Linked DNA regions of Arabidopsis thaliana. The protein of the gene in region 2 interacts with the protein of the main gene of each other region in a pairwise test. Each region holds a gene or a part of one and is shown on either strand. Other genes may lie near its edges.

Evidence for each region. Proteins that work in one complex are often made in the same cells at the same time.
Region 1: the proteins of PPa5 (region 2) and PTEN1 interact in a two-hybrid assay, tested with the Arabidopsis thaliana proteins (one large-scale study listed by BioGRID).
Region 3: the proteins of PPa5 (region 2) and AT2G32840 interact in a two-hybrid assay, tested with the Arabidopsis thaliana proteins (one large-scale study listed by BioGRID).

Annotation. Positions count from the first base shown.
Region 1 is NC_003076.8:15,764,126-15,768,949, forward strand, and holds PTEN1 (Calcium/lipid-binding (CaLB) phosphatase), read left to right. Parts: upstream 1-1,911; 5' UTR 1,912-2,046; intron 2,047-2,124; 5' UTR 2,125-2,125; coding exon 2,126-2,407; intron 2,408-2,480; coding exon 2,481-2,657; intron 2,658-2,718; coding exon 2,719-2,832; intron 2,833-2,895; coding exon 2,896-3,075; intron 3,076-3,160; coding exon 3,161-3,403; intron 3,404-3,476; coding exon 3,477-3,578; intron 3,579-3,656; coding exon 3,657-3,797; 3' UTR 3,798-4,229; downstream 4,230-4,824. Other genes in the region: AT5G39390 (Leucine-rich repeat protein kinase family protein), read right to left, coding at 3-609, 666-902, 997-1,344; AT5G39410 (Saccharopine dehydrogenase), read right to left, coding at 4,290-4,824. UniProt on the Arabidopsis thaliana protein: Protein tyrosine phosphatase that also exhibits lipid phosphatase activity. Can use phosphatidylinositol substrates such as PtdIns(3,4,5)P(3) as substrate. Pollen-specific phosphatase required for pollen development.
Region 2 is NC_003075.7:624,177-628,632, forward strand, and holds PPa5 (pyrophosphorylase 5), read left to right. Parts: upstream 1-1,892; 5' UTR 1,893-2,026; intron 2,027-2,043; exon of another isoform or gene 2,044-2,146; intron 2,147-2,362; coding exon 2,363-2,498; intron 2,499-2,573; coding exon 2,574-2,602; intron 2,603-2,679; coding exon 2,680-2,745; intron 2,746-2,825; coding exon 2,826-2,933; intron 2,934-3,015; coding exon 3,016-3,081; intron 3,082-3,175; coding exon 3,176-3,296; intron 3,297-3,376; coding exon 3,377-3,458; intron 3,459-3,539; coding exon 3,540-3,582; 3' UTR 3,583-3,894; downstream 3,895-4,456. Other genes in the region: TIP1;3 (tonoplast intrinsic protein 1;3), read right to left, coding at 916-1,674.
Region 3 is NC_003071.7:13,932,244-13,936,886, reverse strand, and holds AT2G32840 (proline-rich family protein), read left to right. Parts: upstream 1-1,937; 5' UTR 1,938-2,050; coding exon 2,051-2,605; intron 2,606-2,848; coding exon 2,849-2,901; intron 2,902-2,991; coding exon 2,992-3,031; intron 3,032-3,128; coding exon 3,129-3,206; intron 3,207-3,309; coding exon 3,310-3,423; coding exon of another isoform or gene 3,424-3,459; exon of another isoform or gene 3,460-3,516; coding exon 3,517-3,596; intron 3,597-3,692; coding exon 3,693-3,786; 3' UTR 3,787-4,048; downstream 4,049-4,643. Other genes in the region: AT2G32850 (Protein kinase superfamily protein), read left to right, coding at 1-40, 120-213, 292-956, 1,053-1,439.

The sequences.
Region 1 (4,824 bases), on a different chromosome or scaffold from region 2:
ACCTGGTGCGGCATAGCCAATGGTACCTCTCACACCGGCAGAACTGAACTGGTTTAGAAAGGTTTTCTCATCGAAATTATAAAGGAGCCGAGCCAAACCAAAGTCACTAACATGAGCCGTCAAATCATCGTCTAGAAGAACGTTGCTTGGCTTAATATCACAATGAGCGACAGGGTCATGACAATAAACATGCAGATACTCCAAAGCAGAAGCCACATCTATTGCTATGTTGACTTTCTCTGCAAATGTTAAAGACCTTGAGTGATTGTTTGCACTTTCCAAATCTTCTGGCTGTAGCCACATATCTAGACTTCCTTTTGGCATGAACTCATAGACTAAAGCTCTGAAATCATTTCCTTGGGAATCAAGGCTTGAGCAAACTGTTATCAGTTTCGCAAGGTTACGGTGCCTAATACCTTTGAAAGATTCACATTCCGCTATAAAGCTTTTTGTTGCTCCATGTTTCAGGAGGTTCAAAACTTTAACCGCGACGAGTTTTTCCTCGAGGCCAAGCAATCCTTTAAACACATCACTGAAGTTGCCTGAACCAATTAGATTGCTTGAAGAGAAGCCACTTGTTGCATTATAAAGCTCTTCATAACTTATCTTCTCAAAAAACATCCCCACAGTAGTAGAATCAGATGGATTAGTATACTACCACTAACATCGTTCTTCTTCTTGAACCAAGACAAAGAAGCCACAATTATGAATAAAAAAAGCAAAGCTACACCTACACCAACGGCAACTTTCTCTCCAAGTGAGAAAGGCTTTTTCTGCCTTGGTGATTCAATGCATGGCTTTAGTTGCATTTCTATGACGCCTCCACATAGATTTTCATTTCCAAAGACAGAAACTGTTGTACCGTTTTGAAAAACTCCTTTCGTTGGTACGCTTCCTTCGAACTTGTTCAAGAAGATTAAAAAGACTAACCAGAATCTTTCCTTCTAGAAGATTATAGCTCATGTTCAAGTACCGAAGCCTAAATAGCATTCCTACCTCTTGAGGGATATTACTTTGAAAAGAGTTGTCACCAAGATTAAGTGATCTGAGAAATGAGAGATTACCAATAGAAGGTGAGATCGAACCGGACAATTTGAATCCTCCAAGGTCTAGACTTGTAACTCTTTCTTGTTTCCGACCACATGTAATCCCAATCCAATGGCAAAGTGGAAAGGAGTGATTCCATGAAGCTAAGACCTCTCTCTTGTTTTCAGTAACTTGAGACTTGAACTCAAGCAAAGCTTGCATATCAGTCTCATTTGAAAACCTAGCTTGAGCAAAAACTAAGATGCAAACTTGAAGTAACATGAGAGCATTGAAAGCAAAAAAAAGAGAGATCTTCATGTCGATTATAAGAAGGATAAAAGAAAGGTTTTGCTTCAATTTAAAATCCCAAAAATGAAAAGACTAACACGAATTTAGCTTAATGGTTACAAAACTATAAGAAAATGGTCACCAAGAAAGCAATTTGCGTCGACTTATGAGATACGTCGTTTGAATAACACGACTTCTCATCAGTCAAACTTATGACCGTGTCAGAAAAAAAAAAAAAAACACAATCTCTTGTATTGACAAATCTTCTTTCAAACATTTGAATATTAACAACATTGATGATAGCAACTTTCGAAAAAAAAAACATAGCATATAGTTTTGTTCATACTAATGGAATCTTTACTTGTTAGAAAAGAAAGCTTTAGAATTGAAGAATCAAAAGGATCACTCTTCTTATATACCCTTATACATTCCCGCCAAAACTAACCGCTACAGGTAAAGAGAGAAAATAAGAGTAGAGAGAGAAACCTAAATTTAAAGGGAAGCTTGGCTAAATTTCAGGAGCTCCAAAAATGGAATTGCATCGTTGTTCATCGTTTTCTTCTATGAATGACCATTATCTCTATTCATGTAACAAAACCCATTTTCTCCAAAAAAAGTTGAAATTTTTCGGTTTTGTATTACCTCGCGACATCTTCTTCCTTCTCGGGTTCCCAATTCCCTCAATTTGGGAACCTGAAAATCTCTTCCTCAACTTCATGATCAATTCTTCAGGTATATAAACCCTTTGATGATAAGTTTTTTTCTTGTGGTGTACGTTATCTAACCTAATGATATGTTTTCTTCCTTCAGAATGGGTCTCAAGCTCTCACGAGGGCCTGTAAAAGAAAAATCACCTTTGGAATTCACAAGGGTTCACATTCTGACTTACTTCACCACAAATTCTTACCTACGTAACTTGGTGTCCAAGAAACGAAGACGGTTAATCATCGGTGGATATGATCTCGACATGTCTTACATCTCCGACAAATTATTGGCAATGTCTTTTCCAGCTGAACGAATGAGAGCAGTCTATAGAAACCCTCTTTGGCAAGTCAAGTCCGTGCTCGATATGCGACATCCTGATCATTACAAGGTCAATAAAACAAACGTCTAATATTAAAACATCAATCAACTAGCTATTTTTATTAACATTGAAATTTGGTCAGGTCTATAATCTATGTATAGAGGAATCTTATGATCCAGACAACTTTTATGGCCGCGTGGAGCGATTTCCGTTTGATGACAATCATGTTCCATCCCTCAAAATGATCCAACTTTTCTGTGAAAGTGTTCATTCTTGGCTCTCATTAGATCCCAAGAACATCGCGGTTGTTCATTGCATGGTACTTTCTTAAAACCAAATCCACATTGTAGCATTGCCATATTCTAATGTACTTTGTGCAGGCAGGAAAAGGTAGAACAGGGCTAATGGTATCGGCGTACCTTGTTTACGGTGGCATGTCAGCTGAAGAAGCTCTTGAGATGTATGCAAGCAGAAGAACAACAAACAATAATGGAGTAAGTCCTTAATTTTAGCTATGGAGTAATAGAGAATGAAGCTAATAAACAATACCATGACAGGTCTCAATACCAAGCCAACGTCGTTATGTGAAGTACTGGTCAGATTTACTTTCGTTCAGTAAAAAAGGACCTCCCGAGGTTAAATTACCGCAAGAACATAGCAGAGAGTTGTTGCGAATTAGACTTTATGATACAGCTAACGTTGATTCCGTCTTCTTTGTGGTTTCAGAACTTCAGGAGGTAATGATATATACACTTTGATGCATTGTAGACTCTGTTTCTGTTTGATATATACACTTTGATGCGATGATGTATATGATGTTAGGTTCCAAATGAGATGTATCGACCGTCTGTAGAACTTGCAAGAGGTTGTTGTAGACAATTCAAGAAAGGGTATTGTAGAAGTTCGAGTCCACGGTATTATATATCTCATGTGAACTGTGATTCAGAAGAAGATGAGGAAGTAACAGACGGAGAAGAGCCACATCTTGTTGTTCAGATGGATACAGAGAGTTCCATTATCGACGAAAAAACTTGTCTTGATTTCTACTTTGACAAACCTGTGAGAGTAAGTCACAAAACAAATATTCTTCAGACAATGTTTTTGATAAGATTTTGATAAGCATATGATTCTTGGACAGGTTAGTGGTGACATACGCATCACATTCTACCAGAAAATGATTGGAAGCCGCCTTTTTTATACTTGCTTCAACACAGCTTTTATAACCAATGGCTTACTTCAGGTAAAGAATTCTCCAGATGCCTCAAACTCATTGTTCTCTCTTGACATTCTTATCAATGGTCATTTCTTGCTCCGGCAGTTTTCCATAGGAGAGCTAGATAAAGTTGGTGGTAACGGAAGATCGATATCTGGTCCTGATTTTAGCTTGGAGTTACTCTTTGGCCCAGCTTGTTCGAAATTCGGAAAGTTTCTTTCCCGCGATGACCTTTCTCTCTCTTGAGGCCTCATTTTCAGCTCATTGGATTTCAACACTTGAGTTTTTAAACGGTTCTGTTTCATCACTCAGCCACAAAAGAGGCCTGACTAGCTCAGCTGAGACCTGCAAAACACTTCAATGGCTGATAACAGTGTTTAGCATGTACAAATGCAGAGGCAAATGGGAGATCATCAAACAATGTCAGCAAACGAACCACTTTCTCAACAATGTTTTGTTTTGTTTTTGTAGCAGGGACTGCAATTTTGGTAAATGATAGACAGTAATAAGATTTATGGGATTCTCTTACCATCCATTTTTTTCATTAAGATGGTCTGTTTCCAGTTTTAAGAACCACATTCTCTGTTTTGAGTACATACATATCTCCATAGCAAACGTAAAGGAAACAGTTTTATTATTATTGGAATACAACTTACCATCAAACTGTCTTCAATGTCACTGTGAAGCATAACATAACAACTAAAAACAGAATAGAAAAGCAGGATAAGAGATCTCTTTTTATCCTTGAGTCTTGATCTTTGAAATCAGCTCAAAAGATATACCATTATCCTCAAGTCGCTGCTGGATATCGGTTGAACCAAACACAATGCCGGGTGTGTAGACTCCTCCTTTAACTAGGCTTTCGCGCTGGCCCAAGACTATCAAACCGCATTGAACAAGTGTTATCGGGGTGGTTATATATCCAATCTCAGGTCCTGAAATTCTTGTAATGATTTCCAAGTCAGGCTTTGTTTCTCCTTGTGAAGCTAGACTCTCTTCGCTGTACCCACGACCTATGAACCACATCTTAAACGTAGCGCTTTCTACCTCTTCTTCACTTGGACCTTTCTTCTGGAACCAACCAAGGCTGAAAACTGAAGGGAATTTCAAAAGAAGCCATCTTCCGAAGGAGAACTTGGAAAGTAAACCAAGTGACACTCCAAGTGTAACATATCGGAATATCCCAAAGAGAGATTTGGACGTTATCTTTACACCAAAATGAGCAGGCTTGATCGATGACCAGAATGCTTCTCTCTTTTGTATCTGCTCAGGA
Region 2 (4,456 bases):
AGAATATTTGATAGTTGTAAAGAGTTTTTGTATATGTTTAATTTTTAAATAGAGAAATGGTCAACGTAGCACAATTAACTTGTAATAGAGAATTGCTCAACGTAGCACAATTAGTGTAGATCTTTAAAATTAAATCATCGAGCGAATTTTAGAATTCTCCCAAATAGTTGTTATCTGCAAATGTCATGTTATTTACAATTCTTGATACATAAAATAGTTAGTTTTCCATGTGGTAAAAACAATAAAACATACGACCAATCGACCATTGACATAACTCTTCTAAATCCACGATGAGTTATATATATAAACTTATAATACTAATCACAATTATTGTTATTGAGGAATATACATCGTGAGTATCATCAAATCTCGTCATCGCACTTTGCTTGAACGTGCAAGAAACTTGGAAACGCGTTTAGAGCAAACACCGGGACACCGAAGTACCGTTTATTGAATTCCTTTTTTTGTGTGTGTTGTTCAATACTTAAATCGACTAAAAAATCATTAGCCTAAGATTCACATATCAGAACGTGCTTGGGCCAAAAATAAAATAAAGAACGTGCATGGACCAACCAACCATATATATATCTTCATAGTATTATTGATAATGGCGGGTCCCATTATGTTTGATATATTTTCAGTTTTCACCATGGAAGCATAATCTCAAGAATATGCCTCCAATAAAATTCGTTTGTACATGAATTCCTTAAGTATGGCAGAATACTACGTATACCCCACATAATAGTTTAATCTAATTTAAATTAGTGTAAATTTTCCACCAATCAATTTATTAATTACTTAAAACAACAAAAGTAGTGAAAAACAATTAAAAACACATATCTCCCTCAAAATACCCATAGTAGGCTACAACTGTAGATTTCTTGTTTCACAAGACACAAGAAAAAAAAACCTAACTTAGAAATCATTAGAAGGAAGTGGTTCATGTCCATTACTACCGATAAAGATAGTATCATAAACAATAGCTGCAATGGCTGCACCGATAAAAGGACCAACCCAATAGACCCAATGATTCGTCCAAATCCAGCTAACCACGGCCGGACCAAATGAAACCGCGGGGTTCATCGATGCACCGTCGAAAGCACCACCAACCAGAATGTTAGCTCCAACGATTAACCCAATCGCCAAAGGCGCAATGATTCCAATATCACCTTTCTTGGGATCCACGGCAGTAGCGTAAACCGTGTAAACTAACCCAAACGTCATCACAATCTCGAAAACGACTGCGTTCCAGGGCGTCACTCCATATGATAGCGAAAACGCAGCCGTTTCCATCCCGCCAGTGCTTACCTTGAGCAACAAGCAAGCTACGACTGCTCCGAGTAATTGAGCGATCCAATAAAGAATAGCTCTCAACAACGTTATGTTTCCACCAATAAAAGCCCCAAATGTAACCGCCGGGTTCACATGACCACCTGAAACGTTAGCTCCAACGGAAACCGCAACGAACAACGCAAACGCATGAGACAAAGACGCGGCCACAAGACCGGCAGGTGTGGCTGGACCATCTCCAGTTAGTTTTCCATAAGCCATTCCAGAGCCTTGACCCGCGAAAACGAATATAACCATCGAGAAAAACTCCGCGAAAGCTGCTCTAATCGCATCGGGACGACTAGCTTCCCCCGGCGTTCCAATCGCAATTCTGTTGATAGGCATCGTTACAAAAAAATTTGCTTTCTTGCTTCCTCTTCATTTTGTTTTTCATCAGTAAAAGTTTAAATAGTTAAAGCGTTAGTGCCAAGTGTGTGTATGAGAATCGTTCAAGAGACTGAGATTAGTGTTTTACGGTGGGCCCTAGGTTATAAGAAATCGAACGGTGATTATAAATTCATATTTAATTAATAACTTACTTACCAATTAATTAAATCTTAATCCGTTTTTCTCGCTTTCTATAAATACTATTATGGGTAGCAATTGAAGAACACGCGCTTTACTGTTTTCTCATCATCGTCACTTTTCTTTCTCCACACTTTCCGCAAGATTGTTCTGTTCTTCAAACGATTCTAAGGTACGACTTTTTTTTTTGAAGGTTCTTGATCTCAACTTTTGTTGCGTATTGATGTTTGATCCTCTGGATTTTGTATCCAACGGAAGATCTATCGAGAAATGAACAAATTCGATACAAATTGTTAGTGTTTAGCTGAATTATGTAGATTTTGTTAACTTCGATCTTGAAGATGATTGATGTTTATCGTACTAGTAGAATCTGATGTTAAATCTTTGAGTGATGGATCGTGTTATCAGCATCAATAGTGAAAAGATTCTATATTGATTTAGACGTGAAGTCATGAAAATTGACTAACAAGATTCTAACGTTTGGTTCTGTTTTGCTCTGTTTTATTAGATGAATGGAGAAGAAGTGAAAACGAGTCAACCTCAGAAGAAGCTTCAGAACCCTACTCCACGTTTAAACGAGAGGATTCTCTCATCTTTGTCTAAGAGATCGGTTGCTGCACATCCATGGCATGATCTTGAAATCGGTAATAATCACTGTTTTAAAGATATTCTGTGTGTTTGATTAGAGTCTTTTTAACTAAATTGTTCTATGTGTGCAGGACCTGGAGCTCCAGTGATTTTCAATGTGGTAAAGTCTTTATGCTTGATGATGTGACAATCCGATCGAAAAAGAGTTAATCATTTGTCTTTTTTGGATGAAATTAGGTTATTGAGATCTCAAAGGGGAGCAAAGTCAAATATGAACTTGACAAAAAAACAGGTCTCATCAAGGTAAAAAGATATCAAATCTTGAAAAAACAGAATGATCTGAGGATATATGATGATCGTAAGTGTTTGTATATGTCTATCAGGTTGATAGGATTCTTTATTCTTCGGTTGTGTATCCTCACAACTACGGGTTTGTCCCACGCACACTATGTGAAGACAATGACCCTATAGATGTTTTAGTTATCATGCAGGTTTGAGTCTAATTCTAACAACATTCACCAAAAGAAAATGAAATGGCTGAAATAATTTCTTATCAAAGTTGATTATGTACAGGAGCCTGTGCTTCCGGGTTGTTTTCTTCGCGCCCGAGCTATTGGTTTAATGCCTATGATTGACCAGGTAACATCCTAAGCTTTAGTTTTTCATGTTTCCTTGTGCTTCAAGTTTGTGTAACCATTGTAGCTAATTCTTTGGGGTTTTGGTTGAAATAAAGGGTGAAAAAGATGACAAGATCATTGCAGTTTGTGTTGATGATCCTGAGTATAAGCACATCACTAACATCAATGAACTTCCTCCTCATCGTCTTTCTGAAATCCGTCGATTCTTTGAAGACTGTATCCTTAAAACCTATTTTAATACTTGATTAGGAAACAAAACCATTTCTTTTTTGCTATCTTTAACCAAAATATAACAGACAAGAAGAATGAGAACAAGGAAGTTGCAGTGAATGATTTTCTACAACCTGGTCCTGCTATTGAAGCCATTCAGTACTCAATGTAAACTTTTTTTTCTTTTTACCTTTTTTACATAATTTGCTTTTCTTTTAAGCAAATCTTGATGTTTGAAATCATTCACAGGGATCTTTACGCTGAGTACATTCTTCACACCCTGAGGAGATAGATGAAAAGAAGACTTCTTCAAGAACATTCCTGCCAATTTTTGGGTCTGCAATCTCAGATTCTGTTGCAGTGAATATGCAAAAGAACAAGAATTTGTCTTATATTTGGATTTTTTTTGAATAAGCACGTGTCTCATATTTGGCTTTGACGCTTTCCTTTTTGTTGTTGTTGTTGTTGTTGTCTTCTGGGGATGTTTTGTCTGAACATTAAGAGTTTGTATTTGTAACACTGCCTTTGGATCTTTTTTTAATAATTTCAAGCTTCGATTTGGTTCCAATGAAACCAGACTTTTGTTTTTATAAATAAGTGTCACTGTCATTTTTGAAGAGTCCCCATTCCACATTTTGTTTTCCTCTGAAATCCAAATCCCAATTAGATTTGCAGAATCAGAATGAGAAAATGTCAGGTGGTGGAGAACTTCTTTTTCTTTCTTTTGTCAGATAGTTGGATCTGCTGCTCACCCCAAAATGGGCCTGGCCCAGTATATATCAATACCAGTAAATTGGCGCGTGTATATCAATCTCCTTTTCACTAAAAAAACACTTAATACCAGAATATATTTTACCAAAAATCTTATTAGTTCTCTAGTTTTTTTTTTTTAAATCTAAATATAAGCGTAATACTTCATCCTTTTTTAATAAGTGATATTTAAAAAATTTATACATGTATATTATCTATTTTACACCTACATTCTATTAATTTTCAAAACAAAAGTAATAGGACTAAGCATTTATTGTAAGGTTGATTTTGAAAATAGTTAATAGTTTTACATGAAAAAATATTGAATATTATTTAAAGTGAAGCAAAATAATTTGGCTACATGTCACTTATTATAAATAAAAAAATACACATAACATTAGAGAATCAATCTTACT
Region 3 (4,643 bases), on a different chromosome or scaffold from region 2:
GCTCCAAGCTTCACCCGATGAACGACCAGATATTACACAGGTTAAAAGTCAATTTTTACTCATTGTTTCTTCTCAGTTGAGGAAATGTAAAATGTCTCTAACAACATGTCCATCTACAGATTTGGTTTCGTGTCAATGAGCAGCTTCCTGCTAATTTACAGAAATCATTACCGGATCGACCACCTGAAATGCAATCTACTGGAGTCCATGATGGTATAGTGAATAAAACCTATTTTGGATAGCTTCTCAAAGAAAGATGTGATTTCTTTTGATCCTTATGAATTTTGACAGGCTCATCAAAATCAGCAACTAAACCTTCTCCAGCACCTCGTAGAAGTCCGCCACCGCCGCCACCATCTTCTGGAGAATCAGATAGTGGAGGACCGCTCGGTGCCTTTTGGGCGACTCAGCATGCTAAAACCTCAGTTGTATCAGAAGATAACAAAAACATGCCTAAATTTGATGAACCAAACAGTAACACATCTAAATCTGAAAGAGTTCGTGTGGATAGTCATCAACCCAAAAAACCAAGTCCTGTGAGAGGAGAGGCTCGTGGTATTCAAAGAAATAAAGATCTTGAAACTACGATTTCTCAGAAGAATACAACTCCTGCTGCAGCCAATAACATGACAAGAGTGTCCAAGGATGATGCCTTCAACTCGTTTGTTGCTGACTTTGATACCACAAAGTTCGATAATGGTAATAAACCTGGCAAAGAAGAGGCATTGGAAGCTGAGATACAGAGGTTAAAAGACGAGTTGAAGCAAACAAAATCAGAGAAGGCAGAAATAACTGCTAAGTTTGAAAAGCTTTCTGCTATCTGCAGATCGCAAAGGCAAGAGTTGCAGGATCTCAAACAAACACTTGCCTCTAAAAGTGCCTCACCGTCACCGAGCAGAGACTCTTCACAAAATCAACCCTCTCCAGGGATGCATTCCATGTCATCAACTCCATCGGTATTATTCTTGGTTCTTGTTCATCTAAGCTTAGACACCCATACAAAAGTCTTCATCAATGTATATCTTAGAATTCTAATGTTCTTGATGAAACAGAGAGATAAGATGGAAGGAACAATGTGGGAACTTCAACAGGACAGATCTAACTGGTCAACTGGCAGCTCTGATACAAATTCATGGCAACCTTTTAGTGATGAAGCGAAACCCGTGATGGAATCTGCATCAAAGGGTAACAATAATACGATTAATCAGTCTGTGAGAACCAGAAGTAAACCAGCTTCTGCTGCAGGTACTCAAGGTTTTGAGCCATGGGGTTTCGAGACAGAATCCTTTAGAGCCGCTGCAACGTCTGCAGCTGCTACTTCTGCATCTGGAACACAAAGATCTATGGGCTCTGGAAACAGCACTTCACAGAGATATGGGAACTCAAAGATGAGAGAAAACCAGAAAACAGCTCAACCTGCTGGATGGGCCGGCTTCTAAAACTCACTCAGATGCGCATTGCTATTTCTTCCTCATGCAACAACAACAGCTTCATGTTGCTGCCATTACAGAATCTTGAATCTTTTTGTAGATGATGATCATCCCCTGTTTTTGTGCTGCTGCTAAATATACCCCACCCATATCCATTATGTTTTATGTAGAGTCTTAAACTTTACACATTCTCTGAGCTGTGGCCAGATATCTCAGCTTATGGATTATTATTGGAAAAATAAATAATTCAAGATTCAGACAGCTTACACTTCTTTCTGTGAAACTTAGAACTAAGGTCACATTTAATACCGAACCCAACCATACGATGGCTGCATTATGGTTTAAATGTTACCCAAAAAGATTTCAGCCGTAACTAAATCAGCATTTTAAAATCCTGGATTAATTTTCGTTAATGTAAATCTCACATTGAACCGGACCCGAGTAGAAAAAAGTAAAAAACCGAACCAAAACATTAAATACCGAGCCCTAGTTTAGTTAGTTAGAAGGAACTTAAAAAGAGTTCGTGTCCTGAAAATCAAAGAAAAAGCTACCAAATTTTGAATCGTTGTCTTTAACTTGATTTTCCCCAAATTTCTCAGAAATCAAAATCCGCCGGAACAATGTCTACTCCCGATCCCAATCCCAATCCAAATCCAAATCCTTCCGTCTCTGTAGCAGTATCGACTCCAATCGTCACCGCATCTGAATCTCCGGTGACACAACCTAACACAGTCATAACGCCGTCGTCTCAACCTCAACCTCAAACACCAGCTTCGTCGTACAGAGCCATAGCTCCGCTTCATCGTCATCATCCTCATCAAAATATCTACACTAACCCTTTACCGATTAGGCGTTCGAATTCCGTTACTAATTCGCCTCATCAGCCTCCTCACCCAGACCCGTCTAGTCTGATATACCCGTTTGGTTCTTCGGGTCGAGGGTTTCCGACCCGACCCGTTAGACAGAATTCCAATTCCGTCGCTGATCCAGTTGGTAGTCCTAGTCCAGGTGGGTATACTCCTCGAGGGCCAGTTTACGGATACCACCATGGCCAATTCGTGTCGAATTTGGATCCAATGAATCAGTTCATGAGAGCTGCACATCCTCAGAATCAACAATCTCCTCAACTTGGTTCCGGTCATATGAAAGGAGTTCCTCATTTTTTGCAACCTCGGGTTAGTTATCGTTTTCGTTACCAAAACAAGTTTGAATCTTTTTGTTTAATTCCATAGTTTTGTCAAGTGTTTTTTTTGTAGCTTGTGCTAGTTAGTGAAAATGTGTATGTTGAAGTGAAGATTATTTGCTTTGGTGATTGTAGAATTCGAATAGCAATCTCTAATGAATTAGGAAAGGTTGAAACTTCTGTTAGATATTTGTGTGAGGTTACATTTTGTAAATTTTGGATTTTTGATTGTTAGGCTACTCCTTCTCCAACTTCAATTCTAGACAACAGTGGGCATAAGAAGGCCAGGTACTTTATCTTCTTTGCCATTATGCTTTGTTAATTAGAAACTACTCTAGAAACTTAATAATGTCTCTGTTTCGTTTCCATGGTGTTTAGGAGCCGGGATGATGCTCTGGTCCTCGTTAGAAAAAGAAAGGTATAGTTTTATCCTTGTTTTTTGGTTTTGCATTATCGTTCGAAACCGCTTGCTTCGCCATTTGAGGAATTTTAAATACTTTTTATTTGTTCTGCAGGTTAGAATAACCGAGGGAGCTTCTTTATACTCGCTGTGTCGATCTTGGTTGAGAAATGGTGCTCATGAGGGAATTAAGGTTCGTATCCATTTCTTATTTCTGCTTTGTAGTATAATGCAACACTTGGATTTTTGTATATCTATTCTTGATATCTTTGGAAGATTAATGACGTTGTTTACAGCCGCAGCGAATTGATATGATGACATGTTTGCCAAAGCCTTTACCTGTGGACAAGACGGAGACAAGTTTGCCAAAAGATTTAGTTGAAGAAGCAATTTGCGAAGAAGACAAAGAGGTTTCGTGTTTCTCTGATTTCTTTCTAAAATGGTAATTGTGAAGGGTAAAGCTAAGTTTGATTATTTACTTCAACTCTCTTGATGAGCTTCAGGACGAGGAATCTGTGAAACATTTGTCAGAATCTGATCTTTTGAAAAGACATATAGACCGAGCTAAGAAGGTCCGCGCTCGGTGAGTCCCACAACATATCATCAAAGCTAAGTTCGATGGTTGAAGATTGAATATTTTTTGTTTTGAACAAAATTGTGTGGTTTGTTTTGTTTGCAGATTGAGAGAAGAACGGTTAAAGAGAATCGCGAGGTACAAGGCAAGATTGGCTCTTCTTCTGCCACCCTTTGGAGAGCAATGCAGGAACGAGTAATGATTTTAAAGTTAGGGACTTCGGTGTGAATATACTTGCAGTTGATTTAGAAATGACATAAATTATCTTAGAGCCAGAGTTATGTCTTATGTCTGTGTGTAATATAAGAAAGATTTTCTCTGAATTTTCGTCATACACTCGTATTAGATGATTCTAAACTAATCAACAATCTCAAGATTTTCTGAGATGGTTAACTTATATAGCTCTTATCTTTTTTTTTTTTCAAGAACACCTAGTAGTTCTTGGACAAGTAAAATTTTCAATATAGTATTCGGTCATGGTGGGTCGACCATGTTTTGAACGCTGGATCGATCATCATGTGGTCGGACGATCATAATTTCAGAGATTGATCGACCATCCTTGGAAGCACGAACACATTTAGTCATGTGTTTGAATTTTCTTTTATCTTATTTGTTTCCAACTCCCAAATGATACGAAATGTCACAAAAACTCTTAAAATCACTACATAATCTAAGACTTCCTAAGACACAAATACTCCTATGGACATTAAAACAAGATTTTATCAACAGTGAAGCCATATTATCATCACTGTAGTTCTGAAAATGCCATATTGCCCAAAGTCTTTTCTAGCTAGTATGCCATAGTGGCTAACATCTTCTTCTTTCTTTTCATCTCTCTAAATAAGCAAAAAATTGAGAGGCTTTCTCTTCCTCTTCTATTCCTCTCCAACATAGTATTCATTCTCTCCTCATCTCATCTCTTGTTTCTTTTCAGCCGGAGCTTGTGCCGATGGTTCTACGTCGATCTCACTCTCTCAACGACGAAGAAAACATCCCCCAAAGCCTCCTTCTATGTCCAAATGTAAAGCTTCTCCGCAGCACACAACCTTCCACCGC